4 linked regions of the Ovis aries genome follow. The protein of the gene in region 1 interacts with the protein of each later gene in a pairwise test. Links are inferred from orthologs where the notes say so. Each region holds a gene or a part of one and is shown on either strand. Other genes may lie near its edges. The genes, in order: PEX19, PEX16, PEX11B and PEX10.

Region 1 (4,704 bases):
CTCTTCTGACATGCCAGAGTTCTAGAAAGAACAGAAGAGAAATGAGCAAGTATACCACCTTCTTGGGACACTAACCAACTTTTCAGGTGGGAAAGAACTATTTAAACATGCCTGTAGCAAAATAAGCAAGAACAGACTTGAGATGACACCCAAGAGAGTCTGTCTTTTGAGGCTCTGCCGGTGAAATCTCTGTGAGTGGGACCCATGTGGTTCCCCATCTTCCCTCTCACCTGAAGGTCAGTGGCATTCTTGGCTAGTCCACTTAACGTCTCCTTTAGGCAAGAGGTGAATTCTTGTTGGGAAGTCGCATCACTGCCTGGGAGAGATGAAAAGAGCCTAGGTCATTTAGGATTTTAACTGCTTGCTTAAGACTGACCTGGTTACCAGCTTGGACATGGAGCATTTACTAGTGAATTGCTACACTCCAAATCTTTGAATACGTTTATCTTCATAGTTATTTTCATAAATCTACATGGACTGTGTCTCAGTTTGTTCTCTACAATGACACCCACATTAACACTGATCTTTAAAATTATCACTTTTCAAAATAAATAAATAAAAATGAAATTATCACTTTTCAATAATCTTTTCTGTTACTTTCCAACCTATCTCACCCCTTTCATTAAACAGGGTCTCCTTTTTCCTTCCATCTCCTCCCCCATCCCATGGCAGTGGTATCATAATTACTGTCAACTTTTACAAAAAATTTTGGTGTTGTCAAGGGACAATAACCCAAGAGGTTTGTTCAGATATTTCGCACTGTTTCTCTTCCTTACCTACTCTCCCAGCAGCCTCTGAAAGCTTTTGGAACTGCTCTACCAGGTGGGGCTCTTCCTCAGCCAACTCTTTCATTGCTTTCTCAAACTCTGCAGTGGCTTGGGAAGCCAGCTCACTGTCAAACAGTTCCTGGAAAAACTTCTCCTGGGAGGCGAAGAGGGCATCCTGCAGGGGAGAATGTGGCCAAAGCGCATCTCTTACTTGGCACCCCAGTGTACATGGTTTCTGACAGAAGCCACAGGCAGTGGCGCTGGGAGGTGCAGTGCTTCCCTCCTACCCACCTCCATTGGGCATTCTGACTACTTCCCTTCATGAGAACAGCAAAAAGGCCATCTGGCCACTAAGGGAAGGCTATGGGCTGGTATTCCCAATCCAACCATTTAAATCTGTTCTTTTCTTAAGGAACTTCCTTGAGATCCCTGTACTCAATCTCAAGTCCCTGTTTCACAAGGACTGAGGCCTGCAAGAGCACTCACCAATGTGAGGCCAAGGCACCCTCCCCGACTCCCCTCTGGCCCACAAAGGCCTGCCCCACCTCTGCTTGGAGCTGCACGCCCACACCCTCCCCATCCCTTAAGTGGGTGGAATTTATACTTTGGCAGTGTCTCCTGGCGATCTCTTCTGGGGCCCTGAAGCATCAGGGGCCGTGGTGGTAGGAGGGGGTGCTGGGGAGGGTTTGGCCTTATCGAAATCATCAAGAGCACCTTCAGAGACAAGAGACACAGTGTATGTGTTGGTGATGGATGAGAATGCAAGGCTAGAGGGGTTTCTGAGCAAAGCATTAAGAAAACAATCTTTCAAGCTGCCAACCTTCCTAAAATGCTCTCCTTTTTTTTGAGTCTCCCTCTCCTGACCCACTCCTCAATAAGCTTCTCCCTCCCCCTCCCCATTACCTAACATACTGTAATCACAGGGGAAGAAGTCTCTTAAGGTGTAAAAAAACATCTCTCAAAGCTGTAAGAGGACAGTTCATCTACACAATGCCTCTTTGCCATACTTTAATGGTTCCTAGAAATCCCATACAGATATTCAAGAGAAACAGAGAACACAGATGTCCTTAACCCCCCTAGAACTCACTCTGGAGCCCTACAAGGAATAATCTTTGGCAAGAGAGCAGAAGCCTTAAGATGTTTCACCCAGCTTCCCATGGGTCCTGGTACAAACTGAGGGACTCCATATTATACTCCACGGGAGGGCCCTGAACTCTCTTTTCTCTTTCAATTTAGGTCTCCCTCCCCAGAGTTGCTAGAGCTCCCTGTGGTCTCATCTCTGCAGACTCACACAGTCACTTAGCACTTCTCACCATTTCTGTTCACCTTTCCGCCTGCCCACTCTGTGACTGAGCAAGAGACAATAAATATTCACCTCGACCCTGAAAAGCCTGTGTTCTCACCACCACTATATTTGCCAGGCCTAGGGGGAAAGACACCAGCCCCACTCTGGACAAGAAACCAAACCAGACAGGAGTGGATGGCAGGGCTGAGGAGGAAAAGTACAGCCACCTTCTTTCCAGAGTGAACTGTCTTCCCCTGAGGCTGTCTCATCCTGTTTTTCAAACTAATGGGAAGGGTTTGAGCTCTGACATGATGAAAGAACTGGAAAGGGGCCTGGTGGATGAAAGGACTGGGAGAAAAAAAGGAGTGTCTTTTCTGTTAAGGAGGGCAGGACAGTTAACAGAAGAACGCACTACAGGCTTCCTAATAGTTAATGGAAGCAATTCGTGGTTGTTCGGTTCGCTGCCCCCTGAGGACCAAATGCTGCTGCTGGTGGGGAGAAAGTCAGACTTCAGAACTTACTAAAGTAAGGGGAGTTTGGAGAGGGAGCGTGAAACGTCCTCTGGGTTAGCTTCCCCTCCGGCAGGGCGATCAACAGTGTGGGCCGTTCAGGGACCCAGAGAGAACTCCTCAACTACCGCTGCAGAGGAAGGAGAGGGTGACCCAGAGATTTTCTCGAGGGTCGCAGTCAGACTCTCCGCCCCCGTCCAGCCTTTGGAGAGCCTTTCTTACTCCGCCCCAAACATCGCAGGTTTACTTAACCCCCTGAATGGATCCTTACATCCGCCCTCTTTGGGGCTTTCCCATGACGGGCTCTTACTTTCCAGAAGCTCTTCCAATTCCCGGTCGGCTTCGGCCCGGACACCACCGTCCCCCTCAGCCGCGGCCATCTTGCCACCTCTGACTTGCCGTAGGAGGTGGGACTCCGAGGCTCCGCGCCCCGCCCCTGTGCCCGCCCCCTCTGCTCGCGCAACCAATGGTATTGTTGGTCCGTGCCGGGCCGCCATTTTTAAAGGGACAGGATGCTCCGATTCCCGCCCCCGCCACCCCTCTTCTTTCTACTGGCACGCTGACCTAACAGAGGTGAGTTTGCTCTTACCTTCTGCCAGGTTTTTTTTTGTTTTTGTTTTTACTGGCCTGGCTTCCTTTCTTTCAACTTCCCACATTACCTGGCTTTCTTATTATTTTTTTCCAGAGCTGTGGGTATGCCAAATTGGCACAAACTGCCCACGAGCCACCAGAAGCTCTGCGTTTGTAATCAATAAGGAAGTTACGGTATACCCAACATGGTAGTTTTCTCTCACTTCAGTATTTTACTCATATGTCATCTTCTCTGAAATGCCTTCTTTGGCCTCACTAAATAAAACTGCAACCCTTCCCACACACATACATATACAAATCCTGCCCACTTTCCCTCCATTTCTCTCAAAACTTACCTCTATGTGACATACTATACGTTTTACTTATTTATCGTTTTTATCTCCCGTTAAGCCCTTTGCAGTTTAAGCACGATGATGGCAAGGATTTTCATCCGTCATCTTCACTGCTGCATCCCTAGCTCCTGGGCTGGGGATTAAAATTTGGGCATTCATTGTCTACTCTTTGCTCTCTCAGATCCTAAAGAGGCATGTTTCTCTGCAGAATCTACTGGCTATCTCACATTTCCTGTACCCCATTAAAACTATCACAGGGCCAAGAACTTAGAACTCGATATTAGTCTAATCAAATCGGGTAGAAAAGCGACTCTTGGACTTTGGATTAAGCAAAAAGGTACTGTAGAGTTCCTTCCCTGAACAGAAAAACATCTACTTGTGCTTTATTGACTACGCCAAAGCCTTTGACTCTGGTTCACAACAAACTGTGGAAAATTCTTCAAGAGATGGGAATACCAGACCACCTGACCTGTCTCCTGAGAAATCTGTATGCAGGTCAAGAAGCAACAGTTAGAACAGGACATGGAACAACAGAGTGGTTCCCAATAGGGAAGGGAATCCACCAAGACTGTATATTGTCATCCTGCTTATTTAACTTATATGCAAAATACATCATGAGAAACACTGGGCTGGATGAAACAGGAGCTGGAAACAAGATTGCTGGGAGAAATATCAATAACCTCAGGCATGCAGATGACACCACCCTTATGGCAGAAAGTGAAGAAGAACTAAAGAGCCTCTTTCACTTTCTTTTTTTCTTTCACTTTCTTGATGAAAGTGAAACAGGAGAGTGAAAAAGTTGGCTTAAAACTCAGTATTCAGAAAACTAAGATAATGCATCTGGTCCCATCTGCTGCTGCTGCTGCTAAGTCGCTTCAGTCCTGTCTGACTCTGTGCGACCCCATAGACGGCAGCCCATCAGGCTCCCCTGTCCCTGGGATTCTCCAGGCAAGAACACTGGAGTGGGTTGCCATTTCCTTCTCCAATGCGTGAAAGTGAAGAGTGAAAGTGAAGTCGCTCAGTCGTGTGCGACTCTTAGTGACCCCATGGATTGCAGCCTACCAGGCTCCTCCATCCATAGGATTTTCCAGGCAAGAGTACTGGTCCCATCACTTCATGGCAAATAGATGGGAAACAAGGGAAACAGTGAGAGAATTTATTTTCTTGGGCTCCAGGATCACTGCAGACAGTGACTGTAGCCGTCTGCAATCGGCTTGCTC
Region 2 (4,642 bases), on another chromosome or scaffold:
CTGTCTCATCCAGCAACCTCCCACACTTACTGTTCTGGAGGGTTCGCACCACCCGGTTTGACCGCTTCCCCACATATGACTGCTCCTGGCTACCAGCGCTGTGGTCACCATCTAGCAGCAACAGATAAAAGGTCATACTGTCAGAGGGACACGTGCAGAGCCTACAAGCGAATGCAGGTGCAGTGAACGCTCATGGGCTATGGGGAGAATGGATAAACCTGTACGAAGACAGCAGCTGAGTCAAAGACACCACAGCAGAGGCTGTGCCTGGGACCTATCCATAGCAGGGAGCATTCTGCAGCCCTCCCCAACCTGGGGAAAGGCCAGTATCACCTGTGCAGATATACCAGCCAAGAACTAAGGCCTCCCAGGCACTGGAACAAGGCAGGGGGGCCGGTGGTCCATGGGAACCACAGCCAGAGGGGCTATATCTGGACTTCCCTGGTGGCCCAGCGGTTAAGACTCCATGCTTCCACTGCAGGGGGCGAGGGTTCCACCCGCAGTCAGTGAACTAAGATCCCAAAGGCCGTGTGGCGTGGCCAATAAACAAAAAATTTTAAGAAGGAGGGGAAGGGTGTATCTTCTGAGAGCTTTGCTTTCAACATGACCATGAAAACAGAAGTGAAGACCTGCCCCCAACTCAAAGTCAAGGGGGTAAGACCAGAGGCCAGCAGCTGATGGGCCCAAAGCCCTGAAGGGGCGCATCTGCTGGGTACCCTGCCTCATGAGGCTGTGCTCTTGATACAGAGCCAGCCCAAAGACAAGGCTGGCAAGACCCCTGCTTCCTCCTGATGCTCTGTCCCCTCTTCCCGCAGCCCATAACAATGGAGACTGAGGACTCCAACGTCAGAAGCTCTGAGTTTAAGCTCTGATCTGGCCTCTGACTTCATCATTCTTTCTCTTCTGTAAAATACCAGTATAAGACGATGAGGACAAAATGAGTTGATGGGGAGAGGTGTGCTCCACGGTGACAGTACGTAGGTCAGCTCTCATTTACCAATCAGCCCCGTGCCCCATTCCACTCCAGAGTGGGTAGGCACTTACCCTGGGACCGTGCCTGGGTCTCCCTGTCCAGCGGAACGATGGGGGGTGAGGTCTGGAGGCCAGTCTTGAACCAGATCAGCAGGAACATCCGAAGTACAGCCCTGGGTTGGGAGTACGGCAGGGCTGGGGAAGGGGGAGGTGGCTAGCTGGCAGGGGTCCAGGCTGCTCTACTGAACACCATCGGTACAGCTGGTCTCAGTGACCCCCACCCCAGGCCGGCCCTCCACAGTCCCGACATACTTGGCCAGCTGGATGAGGGCGATGACGAGCCAACGTCCTACTTCACCCCACACCTTGGTGGCCCCCATCTCCATGAACACCTCCACACACTCCAGCACGCTCAGCCATGTCAGCAGCTTCTGCTGGGACAGGGACTGCAAGAACCCCAGGCCAAGAGGTCAGGAGGTCCCCCTGGTTTCAGCTCCTCCCCCAGGGGACACCTCCCCTTCCCAAGATTAAGTGCTTAAGCCTGAGATCTCCTGCTGGGACAGGCGACTCTACCCTGTGAAACCCAGTCTTTTCACCTGATAAGGGGACACTGATGCCTGGACTTGTCGCCCAACAGCTACAGGCACAGGTGGATGCAGCCATGTCTCGTACTCCAGGAGACCATAATGCGTGCCCCAAACACGGGCTGGTGGTTACTATTTTGTTCCTGAGCCCTCTGCTTCACAATTCTTACCACGGGTAATTTTTTCCGAAGTTCCTTCCGTAGGATTCCGTCATTGAGCAGCACAAGCAGGTTAGAGGCAGAGTACACTGAGGGGCAGAGAGTGGCCTTGAGAGGCTGGCTCTGCAGCCTCCACCCCCTCCCCCTCTCCCTAGAGCAGCAGGGATCACCTATCCCCTGCTGTGCTCAGCCATCCCCACAATATGTGGAAACAACAGGTCCTGCCACCCACTTCCTCAGAGCTCTCCACTCCCCTCAACGACCTTTGTGTGAGCAGCTAGAACAAGAAAGGATGGTTTGATCTCTATGACATACCAGCTACTGTCCTGCTGAATAGCACTGGTTATCCAGCAGCCCAGAACCGCCCATCATGCTCCGAAGAGACATGGGAGGTGCAGTCACCTCCTGGTCTTTGCTCTCTCTGCAGCCTGTCCTTGAAATTCTCTTCCATCCCTACCTTTTAGAACCCAGCTCATCCTTTCAGGATCTGTCTCTCCTGTACTGACTGGGTAAACACCACTGAAGCAGTTATAACCTGGGCATTCTGGAATTTGGGAGATTGGGACATGAATTCTGGTTGAGGCCTTCGGTGGCTGTTCCTTAACCTCACTTAAACTTCTGTTCCCTTAACTGGACAAGGAGGACAATAACAGTACCCACTTCACATGACTGTAGGGAAGATTAACGGAGCAAAGGCAGAAGGGACGCTTGGCTCAGCCTCCTGACCAGTCAAGGTCCCCAGACATATCTCTCAACTATGGCGGGGGAGGGGGCATACGCGACGGCCTAGGACAGTGGACGCTGGACCCCTGTCTGATTCAATCACAGAACTGGATGATCTAACGGGAAATCTAGGAAGCCCTCCCCCACCCTCTCGCCCCCCACCCACCCCAGAGCCCGGCTCACCCAGCTCTGACAGCTCGTGCGAATCGGCGAAACGACCTGGGGAGAAGGCACAGAAGGAGGCGCCGGTGAGAGTCTGCCTCTCCCTGCTGCTTCGGGCCCCTGGACATTCCCTCCCTATGCCCTAACGGGAACCTGGAAGGAACTCCTCAAGCACAGCGATCACTACCCAGGCTCCGCAGGGAAGGGAGGGGGAGGCAGGTGGGGTCAGAGGTCAGAGATCCGAAGGGATGGGTCAAAGGTCAGGGTGGCACCTGCCAGCAGGTAACTGAGGCCGCGCACTGCCGTCTCCAGCTGGGCCGTGGCGGCCGGGTGACGAGTCACGTACTCCTGGTAGCGGAGGCCCACCAGCCGCAGCTTCTCCATCCTGCCCTCGGGACCGACAGACCCACGGACCGACAGCGATACTGGCTACGGGGCCCTGCTTCCTGCGCCCTCCTTCCTGCTTCCGGCGCTGGGCCCGCCTCTCTGCTGCTTAACTTCCGCGGGCCAGAAGGACGGCGACGCGAAGGGCAGTTGAGGCACCCTTCACCCCATTTCTTAAATCACCTCCCACCAGGGTAGCGTTAAGTAACCGCGGGCCTAATCCCGCCCTTCCTAACTCCTTCAGGTCATTGGTTCACACGCTCTCCGCCCCCGACCCCGGCGGCCCCACCGGCTCTTCCGCCTTCCGGGTTTGCTGCCTTGCACCTGCGCAGTTAGAGCTCCGGGAAAAAGCTCCCGCGGCAGCCTGAGCAGTTAATTCTGGAGTAGGGATCAAGAGCCTTCCCAATAGAATGCCGAGAGGCTCGAACGGGAGGACTGGCTTTTAAAGGGCTTGGGAGGCAGCGCCCACAGAGGAGCCTTCTCCATCAGACTTGGGCGGGTGGGGAGCGCGGGGACAGCCTAAGGACAATCGGACTGTGTGCAGGCGCGCGTTTGGCCCCTTGCCTCGTCGCCTGACTTCTCCCAGAGGTAGTGCTGGGGAAACTGAGGCAGCGAGAAGTCCAGCCTCCCACGCAGTCAAGATCCCCCTGGCCAGCATCGTTAGTGCCCCGGCTCCCACAAGGAGCATGTCCTCCCTCCCGCCGCCCTCCCGCCAAATCGCGCACCTGAACTCCCATCTTCACGGAGAAAAGCCTGGCCTGGGCTTCTGCTCTCCGCTCGGGGTGACCTTAACGAGGATTTTCCCTTCTCTGGGCCTCGGGTTTCCCCATCTGTAAAATGGTTAGAGGGCAGACGGGCTCTTTGAACTCGGGATCAATTTCACAGCGCTTTTTGGCCCTCCGGTGCATCTTCCAGCTCTCAGCTGCTTCCCAAGAAATGAGAACTTCTCCAGGGAATCTCTTCCCAAACAGGGTAGCCTCCCTGGAAGGAAGTGGCGGCGGGAGAGGAGCGGCCAGAGGTGGAGGGAACGGATGCGCGGAAGAGGCGGCCGCCGATTGGCTGTGGGCAAAGGGGCGGGGCAAGGCTGGGGCCCACGGGGCTGCGCTGTTGGGGACCAGGGCAGCAGGTTTATGGTACTCTGAGAATAGTACAGAATGGGAAAGACTAGAGATCTCTTCAAGGAAATTAGAGATACCAAGGGAACATTTCATGCAAAGATGGGCTCAATAAAGGACAGAAATCGTATGGAGCTAACAGAAGCAGAAGATATTAAGAAGAGGTGGCAAGAATACACAGAACTGTACAAAAAAGATCTTCACGACCCGGATAATCACGATGGTGTGATCACTCACCTAGAGCCAGACATCCTGGAATGTAAAGTCAAGTGGGCCTTAGAAAGCATCACTACGAACAAAGCTAGTGGAGGTGATGGAATTCCAGTTGAGCTCTTTCAAATCCTGAAAGATGATGCTGTGAAAGTGCTACACTCAATATGCCAGCAAATTTGGAAAACTCAGCAGTGGCCACAGGACTGGAAAAGGTCAGTCTTCATTCCAAGAAAGAAAAGGCAATGCCAAAGAATGCTCCAACTACCGCACAGTTGCACTCATCTCACATGCTCGTAAAGTAATGCTCAAAATTCTCCAAGCCAGGCTTCAG
Region 3 (4,590 bases), about 12 Mb from region 1:
CAATGATCGTAACTTGCAAAAGAGCAGAGGCTCCCACCCTGAGGATTAATGTTGACTATGGCCAAGCACACCCCTTGAATCCGAAGGCTCATGTTATGTACTCAAATTCTTGTCCAGTCTAACCCTGAGTCCCAAGTCACTCACCTGGGGCAAGGTGAGCAGGAAGCTGAGTCCCCAGGCTACCCCAAGAAGTTTCCTACCAGCTGAGCGCAGTCCAAACGGGTGGAGTACGGCTGCTTGGTGGTCGAGCCCAATAATTACAGGCAGGAAAGCTGCGGCCTACATGGCTACTAGTTTCAGGAACGTGAGTGTACGACATGCAAAGTCCCCGGCCAGCCATTGAACAGTGATATTCCAGGTCGCAACTTGGGGCATAACCACAAAAGTGACCAGTAAGTCGGCAACTGCTAAATGGGCGAACAGTCGTACCGGAGAGGGACGGAGCTGGCTGGGTTGCGGCCGTGTCCCTGACCACACCACGGCCAGGTTCCCTCCAGCCGAAGAAACAAACAGCACGACAGTCACTCCCACTCGCACCTTGGCGGCAACTGAGAAGGTGGGCAGCTCTGCGCCCTCCACCTCTACTCCTGATCCTACCCAGACCTCCTCCCCCGCCGCTGATGACCCCCAAGGGGTGACGTTGCCTGCAGACATTGTGACCTGGAAAGAAAAGGGGCGGGGCGATGAAGTGTGGGTCTGAAGAGGTGAGCTGCGTCCAGTTTCTTCTTCCTCCTTAGGATCTGAGATGGTTATTTTGCGAATTTCGTCCACTAAAGCCTCTATCTCTGGAGACTCCGTCTGTAATCTGGAGGTCACCTGTCCAACTGTCAGGGGCTTGTAGGGACTAGGAATCTGGTGCTGGTTTCTACTTCCGCAGACTCCTTTAGCCCCCTGGAGCCCTGAATTCGATAGAAGCGTGAGAGTGAGTGTGTGTGTGTGTGTGTGTGTGTGTGTGTGTGTGTGTGTGTGGCGAGTGTTCCGCTGTAAGCACCCCTGGGTCAGGGGCAACCCCATCCTAGTGGTCCTGGAGAGAGCACTGCGGCGCCTTCTCGCTCCGCCCCGACTCCTGCAAGCCTCGCCCTTGGTCCAGAATATTTAAAGAAGACTGTGCCTCTGGAGGCTTGCTCATGAAATAGAGATCTTGTGATTAGAGAACGAGACGACGGAGACCACGCACACAGACACACACCCCTCCACCTCCCCCAATCCCCCCTGCCAAACACACAAACCATACAGATGTAGGCCCAGAGACAAGTGCTTCTCGTTCTGAAATTCCGTTTCAGGGGCCGGTTCCACTCGCTTCAGTTTCTGATGATGTTTGTCCCTCGTGCGGCACCGTTGGGTCGTTCGGGAGGCGTGACTAGGGGCGGGAAGCGAGGCGGGAGCGGAGCTGCAGAACGGGTGCCGCCGCTGTCATGGACGCCTGGGTCCGCTTCAGCGCCCAGAGCCAGGCCCGGGAGCGACTGTGTAGGTGCGGCCCGAATAGGAAAGGGGGACGGGCGGGCGGGCAGAGGAAGAGCCTCGTGAGGCGAGGTCAGTTCACACTACGGGGGTCAAAAAGGGTCAACTCGGGCTACGGGGGCCCGGACGGACCGCGAGGGGCTGATTTGAGCCGGCCGCGAGGCCTTGATTCGTTCCTGCTCGTGAGAAAGATGGGGAAACTGAGGCACGAGTGGGCCAGCGGGCAGGCGGCTCAGGGTTGTGTGTTCACAAAAGACCAATACTTTCCTCCCTGGGCGACGGTGGGACGAGGAGCGTTCTCCCCGTGACAGATAGAGATCTGGACTGTGTCCTCAGAGCTAAGGAGGCACTCCTGAGTTCCTGTTATCCCCTTTACCCTCCGCCCTCCACCTCCGCCCTGCCTTCTAGTCTTCATTCATCTCAAGGGCCTTGAAGATCTCTTAGTTCACCTATTTTGAAGACTAACCTGTTCTCCAGCCATCTCCCGGCCCTTCACAGGACATTGCACACTCACTGAGGTGCTTGTGGTCTTGCGATGGTCCTCCTGCCTTCTTCACTCTCCTCTTCAGGCTGCATCATTGTTAAATCTCATTTCCTCAATTCGAAGTAGTGTTCCCCAGCCCCTACTAGGCTCTGTTGTATCCTCAATGCCTTTCTCTTCCCTTGGCCTGGGGGAGAAACTAAGATATAGGCCTGAAGAGGAGGAAAGGGAACGGTCTCAAACTGGGAAGGGGGTGATCCATGGTTGCCTTTTGGAGGACATTTTTGAGGGGGAGATAAAGGAGGTCTCTACCTTACCTCTCTCTCCTCCAGGGCTGCCCAATATGCTTGCTCTCTTCTTGGCCATGCACTGCAGAAACATGGGGCCAGTCCTGAGTTACAGAAACAGATTCGACAACTGGAAGGTCATCTGAGCCTAGGAAGAAAGCGTAAGTAACTAGGCCTTTCCTTTTATTAGTCCAATACTTCTTCCATCCCCAGCCATTATTCCTTAGTCCCTCCTTCCTATTTTTGACCAGTGCCAATGCATCGTGGTTTGCCTCTGTACTTATCCTGTGCAGGCCTCCCAGCTGAGATAAGACAGCAGGGATAAGGTCAGTGAGGGATTGGAGAGAATGAGGCAGATTTGAGAAAGCTAAACTGGGACACAAATTAATAAAAAATTTGAACTAAAAAAGATTAAACTTTCTGCTGTTTTTTAAAAAGTTGTTTATTATTGTTTCTATCACTTGCCTGACTTTCATTCTCTTGCTTTCCCTCTTTCTCTGTATCTTGTTCTGTGTCTGCCTTTCTACTTTCAAATCCTTGCTTTCCGTTGCTAATCTCCACAAGTTCTACGCCTTGGTAACTCAGCAGATGCCCTTGAGTCAGCCAAACGAGCTGTGCACCTATCAGATGTTGTCCTGAGATTCTGCATCACTGTTAGTCATCTCAATAGAGCCTTGTACTTCGCCTGTGACAATGTCCTGTGGGCTGGGAAGTCTGGACTCGCTCCCCGTGTGGATCAGGAGAAGTGGGCCCAGCGTTCTTTCAGGTTTGATATTCTTTTATCCTACAAGGTCTATCTATTCTTCATACTGCCTACCTTGCCTTTCATGAGAGAACAATCTTTTAAGGTCTTCCCAGAATATACACGTCTGAATCACTTGGCTTCAGATCTTCATTTAGATCTTATACCATCAGAGAATAATGAATGGGGGCAGATGGAAGAGGGATGCTCTTTCATGGCGAATGACTAAGATTGGACAAGACTAGATATTAATTATATTGCTTTAATTCTTCTTCTGTCTATACCACAGATTTATGCCCCTCATTGTCTACACATTCATTCATTCTAAAAATACTTAGTAGCTGCTTACTGTGAGCCAGGGAATAAAGCAAAGAGCTAAGTAGATATGGTTCCTGCTCTCATGAAGCTTCTAGTTTAGTAGGGGAGTCTGATATTAAAACAAATAATCACCAAACCAAATATTTGTGGGAAAGTATAGGATGTTAGCCCCTGGAGGAGGGCATGGCAACCCACTCCAGTATTCTTGCCTGGAGGATTCCATAGACAGAGGAGCCTGGCGAGATACAGTCCATAGGGTCAGAGTCGGACACAACTGAAGCGACTTAGCACATACGTAGGATATTAGAGCTTTATAACGGGGGTGCTAATATAGATATAAAGGTCAGGGAAAAGAGAACCCTTTGAGAAAATGAACTTTTATTTCAGACCTGAAGTCTGAGTAGAAGTTATACAAAGCAAGCAGTATAAAGAAGAAACAGCAAATGACTTATTCTAAGGCTTTGAGGCAAGAAAGACTTCTTAGAATTAGAGCGGTGGAAAGAAAGCCAGTGTGGTTGACAGTACTGAGGAAGGGCACAAGTTCAAACTGGAGAGGTAGACCAGGGCCAGATCATTCATGCAAGGTCGTCTAGGTGATGGTAGGATTTTTTTCATTTAGTTTTGTTTAAATTTTATCCTAAGTCCAGTGGTTCTGAGCAGGGATGTGACATGATTCAAACTGCATTTAGAAGATCTGTCTTTCTGTACTGTGGAAAATGGATTGCAGTAGAACTAAAGAGGAGAAGATTCTTTAATGTGACCATGAAATGATGTTGGCTTGGATTAAAGAGCAGGCTGGTAGTGAAGGTGGAAAGGAATATGATTTGAGAATAAAATTTTCTGTCTATATATCACCTATATTTGTTTTTTGCTTCCCTATGATTTGCTTTGTTATTTTACATTATATTGCTTCTTTCCATCTCTGCTTATGTCTTGCTTTTCATCTTTCTCAGTGATTTACAATTATAACAAGGCTTATGGTATATGAAGGATGGGGGCAGAGGCATGGATAGAATGGTGTGAAAAAGCAACTCTCTAGAAGAGTTTCTATGCCGTGTCTACTCTTTCATTCCATAAATATTTCTTCAGCTCTTACTATGTGCTAGGCGTAAGTCTAGACACAAAGATGCAGTGGTAAAGACAAACAAGAGCCTTGCTCCTATGGAGCTTACATTGTAATGGGAAGGGACAAAGACACAGTAAATAAGAAAAACGTCAGAGAGTGGTAAATGCTGTGCAGGAAATTAAAGTAGGGTCAAGTGATAAGATGGTAAATGGCTTGCTACTTTAGAATGGGCGGT
Region 4 (4,827 bases), on another chromosome or scaffold:
GGTGGGCCCAGCACTGAGCAACGAGGATGGCGATGGGAGCCTGCAGGTCACTGGTTGCAAGCAAGGCATCGTAGGAAGGGGACTGCTAGGCACTCAAGCCTCACAGAAAAGGAACCAGCAAAGAGGCCTGAGCGGGGGAGCCCTGCGGACGGCAGGCGAGCCCTGCATGGCAGATCCACTACTCATCCCCATTCGGAAACAGAAGCTCCTGCTTGTATCAAGGCCCTGGGCTGCCCAGGTGACTCTCTGCAGGCTGGGACTCCCAGCCACATCCTCCAATGGAAAGCTGCTTGCCCTCCACTGCTGTCTCCTTTCCTAGCTGGGAGCAGGGACTGTCAGGTTAGCCAGACCAGCCGGAGCCCAAGAGGTGGGGCCCTGGTGTCTGCGGAGCAAGAGACCCCGTGGCTGCCCCGAGGCCCTGAGTGGGTTGCAGCAGCTCGACAGACACCTGACACAACGGGTAGTGCGGGTGCAGTGAGCACTGGAGCTGGGAGGAGGAGGCGCAGAGGCGCTGGACACCCCTGCCAAGGGAGGCCAGGGGGTGGGGGAGAGCCTGGAGACCTTGGGGAGGTGGGGCCCAAGGGGAGGCCTTCTGGATGAACTCTGAAGCCAGGGCATCAGCTGAGACCCAGCAGGGTTGGAGTCCCTGTGATGGGCGGAGACCACCAGGTCTAGAGAGACCATCAGACCTCCCCAGGTGGGAGGCTAGCAGGGATGCTGGTGGCAACAGGGTCCATGTGGTTGTTATTGGGTCATCCTCAGGGGGATGGCCCCAAACCTGACCCTCTGTAAGGATGGCCTGGATGGGGTGGGCATAGGGCCCAGGAGCCCGGGTATACAGCAACGTGGCCACAGGTGCTGGCAGTGGAAAAAAGGCTCACCCCACCCTCATCAGGGTATTTGGAAACCAAACTTCCTCCGGTCTTTTAGTAAAACAGGACCCGACAAGACCCATGCTTCCAGTGGGGATTTCAGCTCCGGCCCTGTGACTGCTTGTGGGCATAGTCCCCGAAGAACAGCCTCCACAGACAAGCCAGACCTGTTACTTACGTAGGTGATGCCCGTGAACCTCTTGGCCAGGTGGTAGAAGACACCGTGGATGTAGAACCAGGCCACGTGGAGACGCTGGAGGCACCCGAGGCCCTGCCTGAGCACTGACATGGCCCGCAGGAGCACCCCCTGCTGCTGTTCTGTCAGGCCGGCCATGCGCCGGTGCACCCAGCGCCTCACCCCTGACTGGCTGCTGGGGGCCAGGCTGCCCCGCAAGGGCCAAGCGCTGTCGCCGGCAGCCTGCAGCTCGTGCTCCAGGTGGAGCAGGGCCTTATCCAGCAGGTAGGGCAGGACGGTGTGCAGCGCAACCAGGACCCCGCGTCGCAGCTTTGAGGGCACGTGGCGCTGTGATGGGCCCACCTGCACGATGCTGACGTATTCCTCCCCAAGGGTCTGGTAGCCTGCAGGGAGAGGGGCCTCAGTGATCTCTACCGGGCCCCCACCTCCCCTCCGAAGGATGATCCTCACAGCCCACACCCTGTGGCAGGGCACAGTGCTGGGACCCCTCGGGCCACAGGTTCAGCTGCAGAGAAACAGTCCTAGACAGATGTGACAGGGAACCTCAGGGCTTCCAGAGGCCTGGCCTGGACTCAGGGCCTGGGCCCCACCTAGGGAGGGGTCTGGGTCCCTTCCTTCATAGAGGCTGCATGCGGGCCAGTTGAGGGACACTGTGAAGCACCTCCAGAAAGCTCCCTCTGCAGGCAGTCCTTTCCTGTCCTCAGGGCCCCTCGGGAGGTTGCACTGTGGCCGCTACCTGCTAGTGTGGTGAGGCTGAAGTAGGCGAGATCTGACACCAGCTCTACCTCTCTCCTCCACTCCAGCCACTTCTTCGCACCTGAGAGGAGAAACTGTATGCGTTATTCCTGAGGGGCTGGGGGCCGTGGGGCATGAGGGTCAGAACAATCCTCGCTCCTGCTGCCCAGGCTCAGCGAGCCCCTGACTCGCTCCCCACACTCTGCTCGCGCTCCCTGGACTCTCACGCTGTTCACTCTTTCCATTGACACCTGCCTCGCCTGGGCCCTGAGTGTCCTGAGAACCTACCCACCTGCAGCCATGCCCCCTCCAGGATCCACCTAGGCAACTGCTCTAGAACCTAGAGAACCACAAGGACAGGCAGTGTAACACAGTGACCGGGAGCTCAAGCCAAGACCACTGACCAGCATCAAACCGGAGCTCCCACACTGCTGGCTGTGAGCTCAGGTGAGTTATATCTCTGTGATCCCCATTTTTCTGTCTCTGAGGAGGGTAATGGCAACAGGTCCTCCAGGCAGGCATGTGTTAACAAAACGAGTTAATGTTCTGAAGCACGGAGAGCAGTGTCTGGCATGGAGTAAGTGAACCTGTTAGCAAAATTAATACACGGGCCATTTGTTTTGATCCTGTCGTGTTCCTCTCTTGCCCAAGGCCGGCCCATGGCCACCCGACCCCAGTGTACAGTCCAGCTTCCCTTCAGCTGCTCCGAAGGAGCCCGCTGTCGGCTGGAATCTACCCCACCCTCTTGCCCCTACACTGTACTCCAACGACCCTGCTCCACGGTAGCCTCGTGTCAGCAGAGCCGTGAATTCTTCTGCGCCTGGTGCCTGGCCTCCGCCCTCGCCCTCTGCAGCAGGGGTCAAAGACCGGAGCATCCGCTCCTTCCTTCAGCTCAGGTCTCGCGGGGCGCGCAGGGTTAGGCCGAGCCTGCAGAGGGCTGACCGGCGGGCCTGGGGCTCGTTTTCCCGCCTCGCGCCCCCACGGCCCGTACGGCCCCCAAGACCCCTGCAGCGGCCCTCACCTGCCAGGTTGTGCAGGGCGCCGCCCGCCGCGCTCCGCAGCCCGCCGCGGTAGTAGTCGTCCTTCTGCGCCGCGCGGACCACCTCCGGCGGGCTGGCGGCCGCGGAAGCCATGGTCAAGGGTCGCAGGGCCGCGGGGATCTTGGGGACCGGGGTACAGGGAGGCGACGGAGGCACCCAGATAGCCACGCCCACGAGGCGGCGCCAGATGACAACTGGGCTCGGCGTGCGGCGCAGACCTTGCGCGTCACTGAGGGCGGGGCCTGGGGCGGGGCGGGGTTGACAGCGGCGCGGTCCGAGCGGCGCGAACCTGGCCCAGGGTGCGGACGCAGGGCTGGAGGGGGCGGGTGAAGGGGGCGGGTGAAGGGGGCGGGTGGAGGGGGCGGGTGAAGGGGGCGGGTGAGCCGGGGACTGGTGAGCGGCACAGTGTGGGAAGTGACCGCGGGGACGGCCCCCAGAAACTGGGAGAGGAGTCAGAGCCACAGCAGGTGCTGACTCCCCTTGGTGGGGCACTTGGCCGCCCCCGGGGCCGGAAGTAAGGTGGGCTGTGGTCTCCCCGCTCCCTGCAGTTCTCTCTGAGGGGCGCTGGCGCCCCTGAGTTCTAATACTTGCGACCCGCCTGTGGGCCCAGGAAAGGAGCTCTGGGGCCCGGGAGAGGGCAGGGAGCGCGGATTCTTGAACCTCGGTGTTTATACTAGCGGCTGACCCACACGTGCAGACCCCCGACTCCTCTCAGCTTCTCTCAGAGCAGGGACCAAAGAGGGCCGCAGGGGTGAGGGGTGGGGGGTGGGGAGACTGGGAGGCCACGCACCAGAGGGGATCCCGATGCCCAGGCACAGGCTACAGCTGGACTTGAGCTGCAGTTCAGGGCCCAGTGAGGGGCCTGGGGAGAGGGCAGTGAGAGGAGGCAGTTGGGGTGTCCTAAGGGCTCTGGGTCTGGAGCAGGTTGTGTGTGTGTGTGTGCTTGCTCAGTCTGTCCAACTCTTTGCCACCCCATGGACTGTCACCCGCCAGGCTCCTCTGTCCATGGAATACTCCAGACAAGAATGCTGGAGTGGGTTGCCATTTCCTCCTCCAGGGGATCTTCGCCACTGAGGGATCAAACCAGTCTCCTGTGTCTCCTGCATTAGCAGGCAGATTCTTTACCACTGAGTCACTTGAGAAGTGAGCAGGCCATCAGTTCAATGACTCGGTTGTGTCCGACTCTTTTTGTCCCCATGGACTGCAGCATCAAAGTGTCTGTATGTGTGCCTCAGTTGTATGTGTGCCTCAGTGGAGGGGGTTGTAGGGACGCGCCACAAGGACCAGAGGGCCTTGTCCTTTCGGACCTAAGGGGTAGGAGAGAAAGGAGGCATGTGACCCGAGGGGGTAGGGGAACCACCAGGGCCCTGACTTTGGCTGGGAGGGTGTGGGCTGAGATGGGTTGCAGCTCCTGCCTCACTTTTGCTCCCACATGAATGTTGGTATGTGCCCAGGCAGCACAGCTCAGCTGCACGGAGCCAGCCTGGGGACAGACTCAGGTCTCGTCGGGCTCCACCAGGTGCAGGCAGGCCCCACCTAGAGGGAGGAGACAGGACCTGGGTGGTCCCACAGTCCCTCCTGCTACTGAAGCCCCAGTGACCCTTGGAGTGGTGCCCTTGTCTGTGTACCCTGGTCACAGAGGCCACCCACTGCTTTGGTTTGTAGTCTGGGGTGGACCCTCAGGCAGAGGCCAGGTGGAGACACAAGCCTCACTAGTTTCTGGCCAACTCTCGTCAGACAGGCTGGCCCCAGAGACGCCCTGGCCTGTGGGTTTGCACAGACAGTGTCCACCAGCACCAAGGTTGATTTGAAGAGGTTTTGTCCCCTTCCTCAGGGTTACCACCTGGCTCCGTCAGAACCTTGAGGGGCAGGCCTAACCTGTGTCACCTCCCCCACCGGCTGGTTCCACCTCCCTGCCCCGCACTGCATGTCCAGGTCTTCCTACCAGCACTGCCACACTGGGCAGGGCAAGGCCAGAAACTGT

What was found.
Region 2: the proteins of PEX19 (region 1) and PEX16 interact in binary tests that used the Homo sapiens proteins (3 or more experiments, as listed by UniProt). The link is inferred for Ovis aries from reciprocal best matches to the Homo sapiens genes PEX19 and PEX16.
Region 3: the proteins of PEX19 (region 1) and PEX11B interact in binary tests that used the Homo sapiens proteins (3 or more experiments, as listed by UniProt). The link is inferred for Ovis aries from reciprocal best matches to the Homo sapiens genes PEX19 and PEX11B.
Region 4: the proteins of PEX19 (region 1) and PEX10 interact in a two-hybrid assay, tested with the Homo sapiens proteins (4 studies listed by BioGRID and IntAct, with this or other methods). The link is inferred for Ovis aries from reciprocal best matches to the Homo sapiens genes PEX19 and PEX10.

The regions. Positions count from the first base shown.
Region 1 is NC_056054.1:111,303,818-111,308,521, forward strand, and holds the start of PEX19 (peroxisomal biogenesis factor 19), read right to left. Parts: upstream 2,954-4,704; 5' UTR 2,942-2,953; coding exon 2,872-2,941; intron 1,482-2,871; coding exon 1,372-1,481; intron 943-1,371; coding exon 777-942; intron 317-776; coding exon 231-316; intron 22-230; coding exon 1-21. UniProt on the Homo sapiens protein: Necessary for early peroxisomal biogenesis. Acts both as a cytosolic chaperone and as an import receptor for peroxisomal membrane proteins (PMPs).
Region 2 is NC_056068.1:74,872,100-74,876,741, forward strand, and holds the start of PEX16 (peroxisomal biogenesis factor 16), read right to left. Parts: upstream 3,050-4,642; 5' UTR 2,984-3,049; coding exon 2,872-2,983; intron 2,657-2,871; coding exon 2,621-2,656; intron 1,804-2,620; coding exon 1,727-1,803; intron 1,419-1,726; coding exon 1,285-1,418; intron 1,146-1,284; coding exon 1,045-1,145; intron 112-1,044; coding exon 31-111; intron 1-30. UniProt on the Homo sapiens protein: Required for peroxisome membrane biogenesis. May play a role in early stages of peroxisome assembly. Can recruit other peroxisomal proteins, such as PEX3 and PMP34, to de novo peroxisomes derived from the endoplasmic reticulum (ER).
Region 3 is NC_056054.1:99,243,804-99,248,393, reverse strand, and holds the start of PEX11B (peroxisomal membrane protein 11B), read left to right. Parts: upstream 1-1,388; 5' UTR 1,389-1,415; coding exon 1,416-1,471; intron 1,472-2,274; coding exon 2,275-2,390; intron 2,391-2,793; coding exon 2,794-2,995; intron 2,996-4,590. UniProt on the Homo sapiens protein: Involved in peroxisomal proliferation. May regulate peroxisome division by recruiting the dynamin-related GTPase DNM1L to the peroxisomal membrane. Promotes membrane protrusion and elongation on the peroxisomal surface.
Region 4 is NC_056065.1:49,745,151-49,749,977, reverse strand, and holds the start of PEX10 (peroxisome biogenesis factor 10), read right to left. Parts: upstream 3,006-4,827; 5' UTR 2,937-3,005; coding exon of another isoform or gene 2,825-2,936; intron 2,391-2,824; 5' UTR 2,326-2,390; coding exon 2,208-2,325; intron 1,886-2,207; coding exon 1,805-1,885; intron 1,452-1,804; coding exon 1,051-1,451; intron 1-1,050.